Ovis aries: one gene and its partner. The main gene of each other region encodes a partner of the protein of the gene in region 2 in a complex. Links are inferred from orthologs where the notes say so. Each region holds a gene or a part of one and is shown on either strand. Other genes may lie near its edges. The genes, in order: KSR2 and MAP2K1.

Region 1 (3,813 bases), on a different chromosome or scaffold from region 2:
TAAATAACCAGACAAGTCAGAACTTCATGGTCTAGTAGGAGGGCATCGAATATTAGGAGTCGGGAGACCTGATTCTTAACCCTTGCTCTGCCTGGCGGCCTGACCAGAGCTAGGCACTTCCCACAGGGACCAACCATCCCTGTCTGCCGGTTTCCCAAGTGTGAGACTGTCAGTCCCCAAATGGGCAAAGTCCTGGGAAACCAGGATAGGTGGTCCCTGCCCCCCAGCATTTCCTGTCTCTGAGCTTCAGTTTCATGATCTGCCTTTCAGCATCTTCACTTCAGCACAATGATAGACAGGAGGTACCTGGGCAAATAGAGACACGTGTGCACCAGCGGGCAACACACAGCGGGGACCTGGCGGGCAGGCGGGATGCTGACGGGAACTGACCCCTCTCCCGCTCTGGCCGTAGAATGAGGAGGGCCACGACGAGGCCGAGGAGTCGGAGGACGACTTTGAGGAGATGAACCTGTCCCTCCTCTCGGCCCGGAGCTTCCCACGCAAGGCCAGCCAGACTAGCATCTTCCTCCAGGAGTGGGACATCCCCTTCGAGCAGCTGGAAATTGGCGAGCTCATTGGGAAGGGCCGCTTCGGGCAGGTGTACCACGGCCGCTGGCATGGTGAGGTGGCCATCCGGCTGATTGACATCGAGAGGGACAACGAGGAGCAGCTCAAGGCCTTCAAGCGGGAGGTGATGGCCTACAGGCAGACGCGGCATGAGAACGTGGTGCTGTTCATGGGCGCCTGCATGAGCCCGCCCCACCTGGCCATCATCACCAGGTCAGTCCCGCCCGGGTTCCCCACCACCATAGTCATTCCCAAAGCTCTGCTTCCGGCAGTGTTGAGCAGCGGGGGTTCTGGTAGATTCAACATTCTGGTAAATAGAGAGTCTGGCTTTACCAATCACAACATCTATGGTTTGAAGCTTTGAAATTCCAGAAAATGCTTTTTGTGCTATAACTCTGGTTGAGAAGTGCTCTGGAGAGAGCTCCCTGTGGGAAGTCAGAAAAGCTGGTATTGAACCCCCTTGTGCTCCACATTTGTGAAAAAGCATCTTTGAGGCTCACTTTCTCCAAATGTAATTGAATGGATTAGACTAACTCGGGTGTCAGCTAACTTTTCCTGTAAAGGACCTGATAGTGTTTTTGGCCTTGCAGGCCATAAGGTTTCTGCAGCAACAGCTCATCTCTGCTACTATAGTGTGAAAACAACCTCAGATAAACTATAAGTGGATGTCTGTGGCTGTGTGCCAATAAAACTTTATTAACACAACCAGGCGATGGGCTGGGTTTCACCTGCAGACCCTAGTTTGTTGAACCCGGATCAACATTCTGATGACTTATTCTGGCTTTCATTAAAACAGCAGAGCACATTTGTAGGGCTCCACCATTGTTGTTTTAAATATTCAGGATCCATGGTCTATAGCTATATAAAAGGGGTGGTTAACAGAGAAGTGACATTAGGAACATATCAGATGTTGGGAACTTTTTTGGACTTGCTGTCTCTAACCTCACACAGCAATGTAGGCATTGGAAAAAAATAACTGTAGCTTCAGTTGAGCAGTTGTGGAACAATCTTTTGATGTGTTTTTAAGCTGAGACCTTTGCTCTCCTATCACTTAGGACTAGCTACAGCATCAGTGTTCTTGGTGTGGCCTGTGATGCCAAGGGTCCATTAGGAGTCTTCTCATTCTTAATCTCAATACAAGCAGTAAGATCCCAAGTACGCAAGCCTTGCATCTTGGCAAGTGCTATGGTGGGAGCTGTGAGCTCAGGGAAGATCGGGTATGTCTTTGATCTATTCCCTTGTGATCCATACAAACCCTCTTTGAGTCCGTTTGTAAGACCTGGGTGATGGGTAGAAGCTGTGTTATCATCTGTCACCATTGATTATGCAGCTGGTGGGTTGACTGGAACTTGTGTGTCAAAAGGTAAGTGCTTGCAAAGGATTAGAGATCTAAGGATGGCCCTTCAACCCTTCTTTAAACCAAGGTAGAAATTGGCAGCTCTCACTTCTACACATTCAGGTATGACCTAAGTCAAATCCCTTATGATTATACAGTGGAAGTGAGAAATAGATTTAAGGGACTAGATCTGATAGACGGAGTGCCTGATGAACTATGGACAGAGGTTCGTGACATTGTACAGGGGACGAGGATCAAGACAATCCCCATGGAAATAAATGCAAAAAAGCAAAATGGCTGTGTGAGGAGGCCTTACAAATAGCTGTGAAAAGAAGAGAAGTGAAAAGCAAAGGAGAAAAGGAAAGATATAAGCATCTGAATGCAGAGTTCCAAAGAATAACAAGGAGGGATAAGAAAGCCTTCCTCAGCCATCAATGCAAAGCAATAGAAGAAAACAACAGAATGGGAAAGACTAGAAATCTCTTCAAGAAAATTAGAGATACCAAAGGAACATTTCATGCAAAGATGGGCTCGATAAAGGACAGAAATGGTCTGGACCTAACAGAAGCAGAAGATAGAAGAGGTGACAAGAATATACAGAAGAACTGTACAAAAAAGATCTTCATGACCCAGATAACCATAATGGTGTGATCACTCACCTAGAGCCAGACATCCTGGAATGTGAAGTCAAGTGGGCCTTAGAAAGCATCACTACGAACAAAGCTAGTGGAGGTGATGGAATTCCAGTTGAGCTCTTTCAAATCCTGAAAGATGATGCTGTGAAAATGCTGCACTCAATATGCCAGCAAATTTGGAAAACTCAGCAGTGGCTGCAGGACTGGAAAAAGTCAGTTTTCATTCCAATCCCAAAGAAAGGCAATGCCAAAGAATGTTCAAACTACCACACAATTGCACTCATCTCACGCACTAGTAAAGTAATGCTCAAAATTCTCCAAGCCAGGCTTAAGCAGTATATGAACCATGAACTTCCAGATGTTCAAGCTGGATTTAGAAAAGGCAGAGGAACCAGAGATCAAATTGCCAACATCCACTGGATTATTGAAAAAGCAAGAGAGTTCCAAAAAAAACATCTATTTCTGCTTTCTTGACTATGCCAAAGCCTTTGACCGTGTGGATCACAATAGACTGTGGAAAATTCTGAAAGAGATGGGAATACCAGACCACCTGACCTGCCTCTTGAGAAACCTATATGCAGGTCAGGAAGCAACAGTTAGAACTGGACATGAAACAGCAGACTGGTTCCAAATAGGAAAAGGAGTACATCAAGGCTGTATATTCTCACCCTGCTTATTTGACTTCTATGCAGAGTACATCATAAGAAACGCTGGGCTGGAAGAAGCACAAGCTGGAATCCAGATTGCCGGGAGAATATCAATTACCTCAAATATGCAGATGACACCACCCTTATGGCAGAAAGTGAAGAGGAACTAAAAAGCCTCTTGATGAAAATGAAAGAGGAGAGTGAAAAAGTTGGCTTAAAGCTCAACATTCAGAAAACGAAGATCATGGCATCTGGTCCCATCACTTCATGGCAAATAGATGGGAAACAGTGGAAACAGTGGCAGACTTTATTTTTGAGGGGCTCCAAAATCACTGCAGATGGTGACTGCAGCCATGAAATTAAAAGACGCTTACTCCTTGGAAGAAAAGTTATGACCAACCTAGATAGTATATTGAAAAGCAGAGATATTACTTTGCCAACAAAGATCCATCTAGTCAAGGTTAGGGTTTTTCCAGTGGTCATGTATGGATGTGAGAGTTGGACTGTGAAGAAAGCTGAGTGCCGAAGAATTGATGCTTTTGAACTGTGGTGTTGGAGAAGACTCTTGAGAGTCCCTTGGACTGCAAGGAGATCCAATCAGTCCATCCTAAAGGAGACCAGTCTTGGG
Region 2 (3,813 bases):
TTAATTTGCTTAGGATGGCGCTTAATATGATATATACCCAATAACTATTAGTTCATCAGTATTAATTTTGCTAACCCTGCTCTTATAGCAAGTGATAAACTCTCTGAAAGCAGGGCCTCACCCACTCTTCACTCATCTTCATAACCCATGAACCGTGTACCTAGTACACAGCATGGCATGTAACATATGGGTTTAAACTACATTAACCAGGCTTTACCCACATCAAAATCTTGGGATCAAGAAAACTGAGAGATGTGCTCCAAGTACAACCTAGGGACACCTGGTTGCTGCCACCTCTCTGAAGAGACAGGGACTTAGGAAGGAGGCCTGTCATTTTCTTGGTTAATCCAACTTCTACAGTCAGGTTTCCTAAATGCCCCAGACAGTGATCTGGATCCAGGGAGGAACAAGGAAGCAATCGTTCAGGTCACATCTCAGAGCAAAGGTCAGACCGGAGCCCCCAGCTTCCCAGGCCGCTCTTCAGAGGCGGCCAGGCTGCCACATACCATGTGCTCCATGCAGATGCTGATCTCGCCGTCGCTGTAGAAGGCCCCGTAGAAGCCCACGATGTACGGCGAGTTGCACTCATGGAGAACCTGCAGCTCCCTTATGATCTGGTTCCGGATGGCAGGTTTGATCTCCAGGTGAATTAGCTGAGGAAAAAAAGGTCCAAGGAAGAGAAGCTTTAAACATATATGGATGGATGGAGGGGTGGGTGGGTGGACAGACAGAAGTTTTCTTAAATGCTTAAGCTCTTAGACGTAGGAAGAGAGGAAACAGGCAAGTTTCAGCAAACAGGTTACTGGCCAGCTAGAATACTGAGTGCCAACATACCAAGGCAGGTGTTGGCACTGGAGGGGCTGTACCCAGGGGAGGGACAGCTGTGCCTCCGCTCCCAGGACCCAAGACTGAAGAAGAGGGGCCCTTTCGCTCCCAAGAACAAAAGGACCTGGGAAGCTGAGAGATGAGGGCAAGTGGCCTTAGAGGCTTGGTTGATACCCAAGGGCTGCAGGACCAGAAAGGTATGAGGAACTGGGTCTGCCAATCTAAGCTGCCCAGGATACTTCCCCTTGACCTTAGGAGCCTGATGTGGTTGGGATTTAGCCAAGGCCCAGGGGACCTCCTTATCTCCGCCCCGCCATGCTGTGCCTTGTTTCAGCTGAGGAGACAGGTGACAAAAACATGAAATGGTTACCGAATAAGGCTGAGCTTCTAAAAAGAGCCATGGACAATGAGTGTCAGAAGACACGGAAGCAGCGGTTATCAGCGTGGGCGCTGGTGAAAGCTAGACAGGAGGTGGGCCTTGAAGATGGGAAGTGTTTGAAAAGATGGAAGAAACAGCATGAGCAAAAATACGTGGACAGAAATGAACATGGTGTGCTGCAAAACATGGAAGAGTCCAAATCTGCTGTCCGGAAAGAGGAGGACTCAGGCTCACCAGGGCGGGAAGTCCAGCTCAAGGGCTGCATGCCAGGGTGGGGAGCCAAGATGCCGTACTGCAGGGAGATGAAGGGGAAGCATGGGCAGGGGTGGAGCTCGGAGAAACAACACGAAGCCAATGTTTGGTGTGCCCCTGGAGCTGGGTAAATGGAGCCACCCCTTGCTCTTGAAAAATGGCAAATGAGCATCTCAGCTTTCTTTCCAGAGCACCCAGAAAGCTAACAAAGGGTCCCTTGCTATTATTTCCCAGTCTGGGGACTGGGATAAATACACTAACACAACATGAGTGTGTTTATCTGTAATCTAACAGATAACATGAATTCAAACTTCAAAAAGCACTAAAGGGTACTGAATGAAAAGTCAATTTTCTTTCCACCCTTGTCTCCAGGCCCCTAGGTCTTCTAAGAGATAATCCAATTACCTGTCTACCAAGGCAAGCTTGATTCAGCCCTTTTTTTTTTTAAAGTGCCCTCACCTTTCTGGCCATAACGAGTCCGGACGGCTTGTGGGAGACCTTGAACACCACACCTCCATTGCCGGCACCCAGCTCACTGATCTTCTCAAAGTCATCATCCTTCAGTTCCCCCACCTTCTGCTTCTGGGTCAGAAAGGCCTCGAGGCGCTTCCGCTGCTGTTCATCGAGCTCCAGCTCCTCCAGCTTCTTCTGCAAGGCCTCCAGATTGGTCCTGTCCCAAAGCGGGGAGCACAGGTCAACACTGGCATCAGAGAACCTCACCCGGAGGAGCGCTCCTGCTGTGGAGAGCTCCAGCGCTGGGGCCAGAGGGAGAGCTGGAGGAGGCGGCTCGGGGAGGGTCTCACCCGCTGCGGCTCTGCCCCCTCCACTCCACCACCCTCACGGCTCACCACAGACACACTTCCCGTCTCAAGGCCTGGTCTCCTCGTTTGTAAAATAAGGGAATGAGTTCTCTCTCAATAGGCTCTGGGCCTACGAGAGGAACCACAGAATCTACTAAAATCCAGAGTGAGCCACCTTGCTCTGCCTTAAAACCCCAGTGTCAAAAAGTCCCACGAGTGGTGGCTTTACAACACCATAAACAAAATACAATCTATTTCCTAAAATCACTAAATTGAAACCAAAGCACATCATCGAAACAGGCTCTAACCTGAATCACAACAGAAACCCTTCTTCTCTATGTGATCAGACCAGGAACAAGGTGAATCAAAACAGAGCAAATGGGATATACCTAAAATTTTTATTTTTGCAACAAACATAAAAGTGCATTCATTCACCACCTTCTCTGAGTAAGAGCGCCACATCACCTTTCTTACATGAACCAGAAGAGAGCACAGCGCCCATCATTTCCAAATTCTTTAAAGTGGAGTAAAAATGCCAACAGAATACTCTTAATAAAACTTTAAGAGTCGGATGACTTTCTCCCATTTTAATGCTCGCCTAATTTGACAGTATTTTCTTTTTTTTTACTGACTTGGACTTACTGAATCTTTCCACAGCTCTTAACCAGTATTCACAGAGGGAGAAAAAAGAAAACCACTTCGTTTGCAGTCATATTTCATCAGTGTATCTTATATTTAAATACATAAATTACAATTCCAGCTATAACTGTACAAAGGACTTTGAGAACAAATCATCTCTTGGTAAGCACATAATTCAACCAGTGGGTGCCAGAGTGAGTGGGTATGGCAGAGAGCAGCCTGCTAGTGTGTTTTACATAAAGAACTAAAAAGTGCTCATTACCTCCCAGGAGCTTGTGAAGAGAAGGGTGGTAAGGAGCGCTTCTACTGTTTCATTTTTGTCCTTAGTCTAAACAAACAACATGGATGATAAGACAGGCAGTCATTATACATCAGAAAGTTGGTGACCCCTCCCCTCAACAGGCACACCACTCTGAGCTTGAAGGGTAAGAGCAAGCATCATCTTCGACTCTTCGTTCACATTATGTTCCAAACCTTAAGAAGGAGAGGGAGAAAAAAAAAAGGAGAGGGAGACCCTATGCCTCCCCAGTGTATGGGAGGTTGCAGTACTGCCTTACAAATAACACAGTACACGGGGCCAAAGAGGACAGGGGGCTGATTTTCCCAGTCTTCCTCACTGGGTAACTCTGCGGGGAAGAAGGCTGGTGCCATGAACGGAACTGTGTCCCCTAAAAATCCGTAAGTTGAAACCTTAACCCCCAGCGTTTAGAGAGAGGATTTTTAGAAACTAATCAAGGTTAAGTAAGGTCATATACTACTGCTGCTGCTGCTGCTGCTGCTGCTGCTGCTGCTGCTGCTAAGTCACTTCAGTCGTGTCCGACTCTGTGCGACCCCAGAGACGGCAGCCCACCAGGCTCCCCCGTCCCTGGGATTCTCCAGGCAAGAACACTGGAGTGGGTTGCCATTTCCTTCTCCAAT

Evidence for each region.
Region 1: the proteins of MAP2K1 (region 2) and KSR2 are in contact, whole or in part, in a crystal structure (PDB 7UMB), measured with the Homo sapiens proteins. The link is inferred for Ovis aries from reciprocal best matches to the Homo sapiens genes MAP2K1 and KSR2. Residues at the interface, in NP_002746.1 of Homo sapiens: Val81, Glu102, Met219, Ala220, Asn221, Ser222, Phe223, Val224, Gly225, Thr226, Arg227, Ser228, Met230, Arg234, Leu235, Gln236, Gly237, Met308, Ala309, Ile310, Phe311, Glu312, Leu314, Asp315, Val318, Asn319; in NP_775869.4 of Homo sapiens: Lys674, Arg818, Asp820, Lys821, Leu822, Arg823, Ile824, Gln825, Asn826, Ile837, Arg838, Gln839, Leu840, Ser841, Pro842, Gln877, Pro878, Ala879, Glu880, Ala881, Ile883, Trp884, Gln885, Gly887, Thr888, Met890.

The regions. Positions count from the first base shown.
Region 1 is NC_056070.1:57,629,236-57,633,048, forward strand, and holds part of KSR2 (kinase suppressor of Ras 2), read left to right. Parts: intron 1-412; coding exon 413-780; intron 781-3,813. UniProt on the Homo sapiens protein: Location-regulated scaffold connecting MEK to RAF. Has very low protein kinase activity and can phosphorylate MAP2K1 at several Ser and Thr residues with very low efficiency (in vitro).
Region 2 is NC_056060.1:13,282,619-13,286,431, reverse strand, and holds part of MAP2K1 (dual specificity mitogen-activated protein kinase kinase 1), read right to left. Parts: intron 2,127-3,813; coding exon 1,916-2,126; intron 654-1,915; coding exon 507-653; intron 1-506. UniProt on the Homo sapiens protein: Dual specificity protein kinase which acts as an essential component of the MAP kinase signal transduction pathway.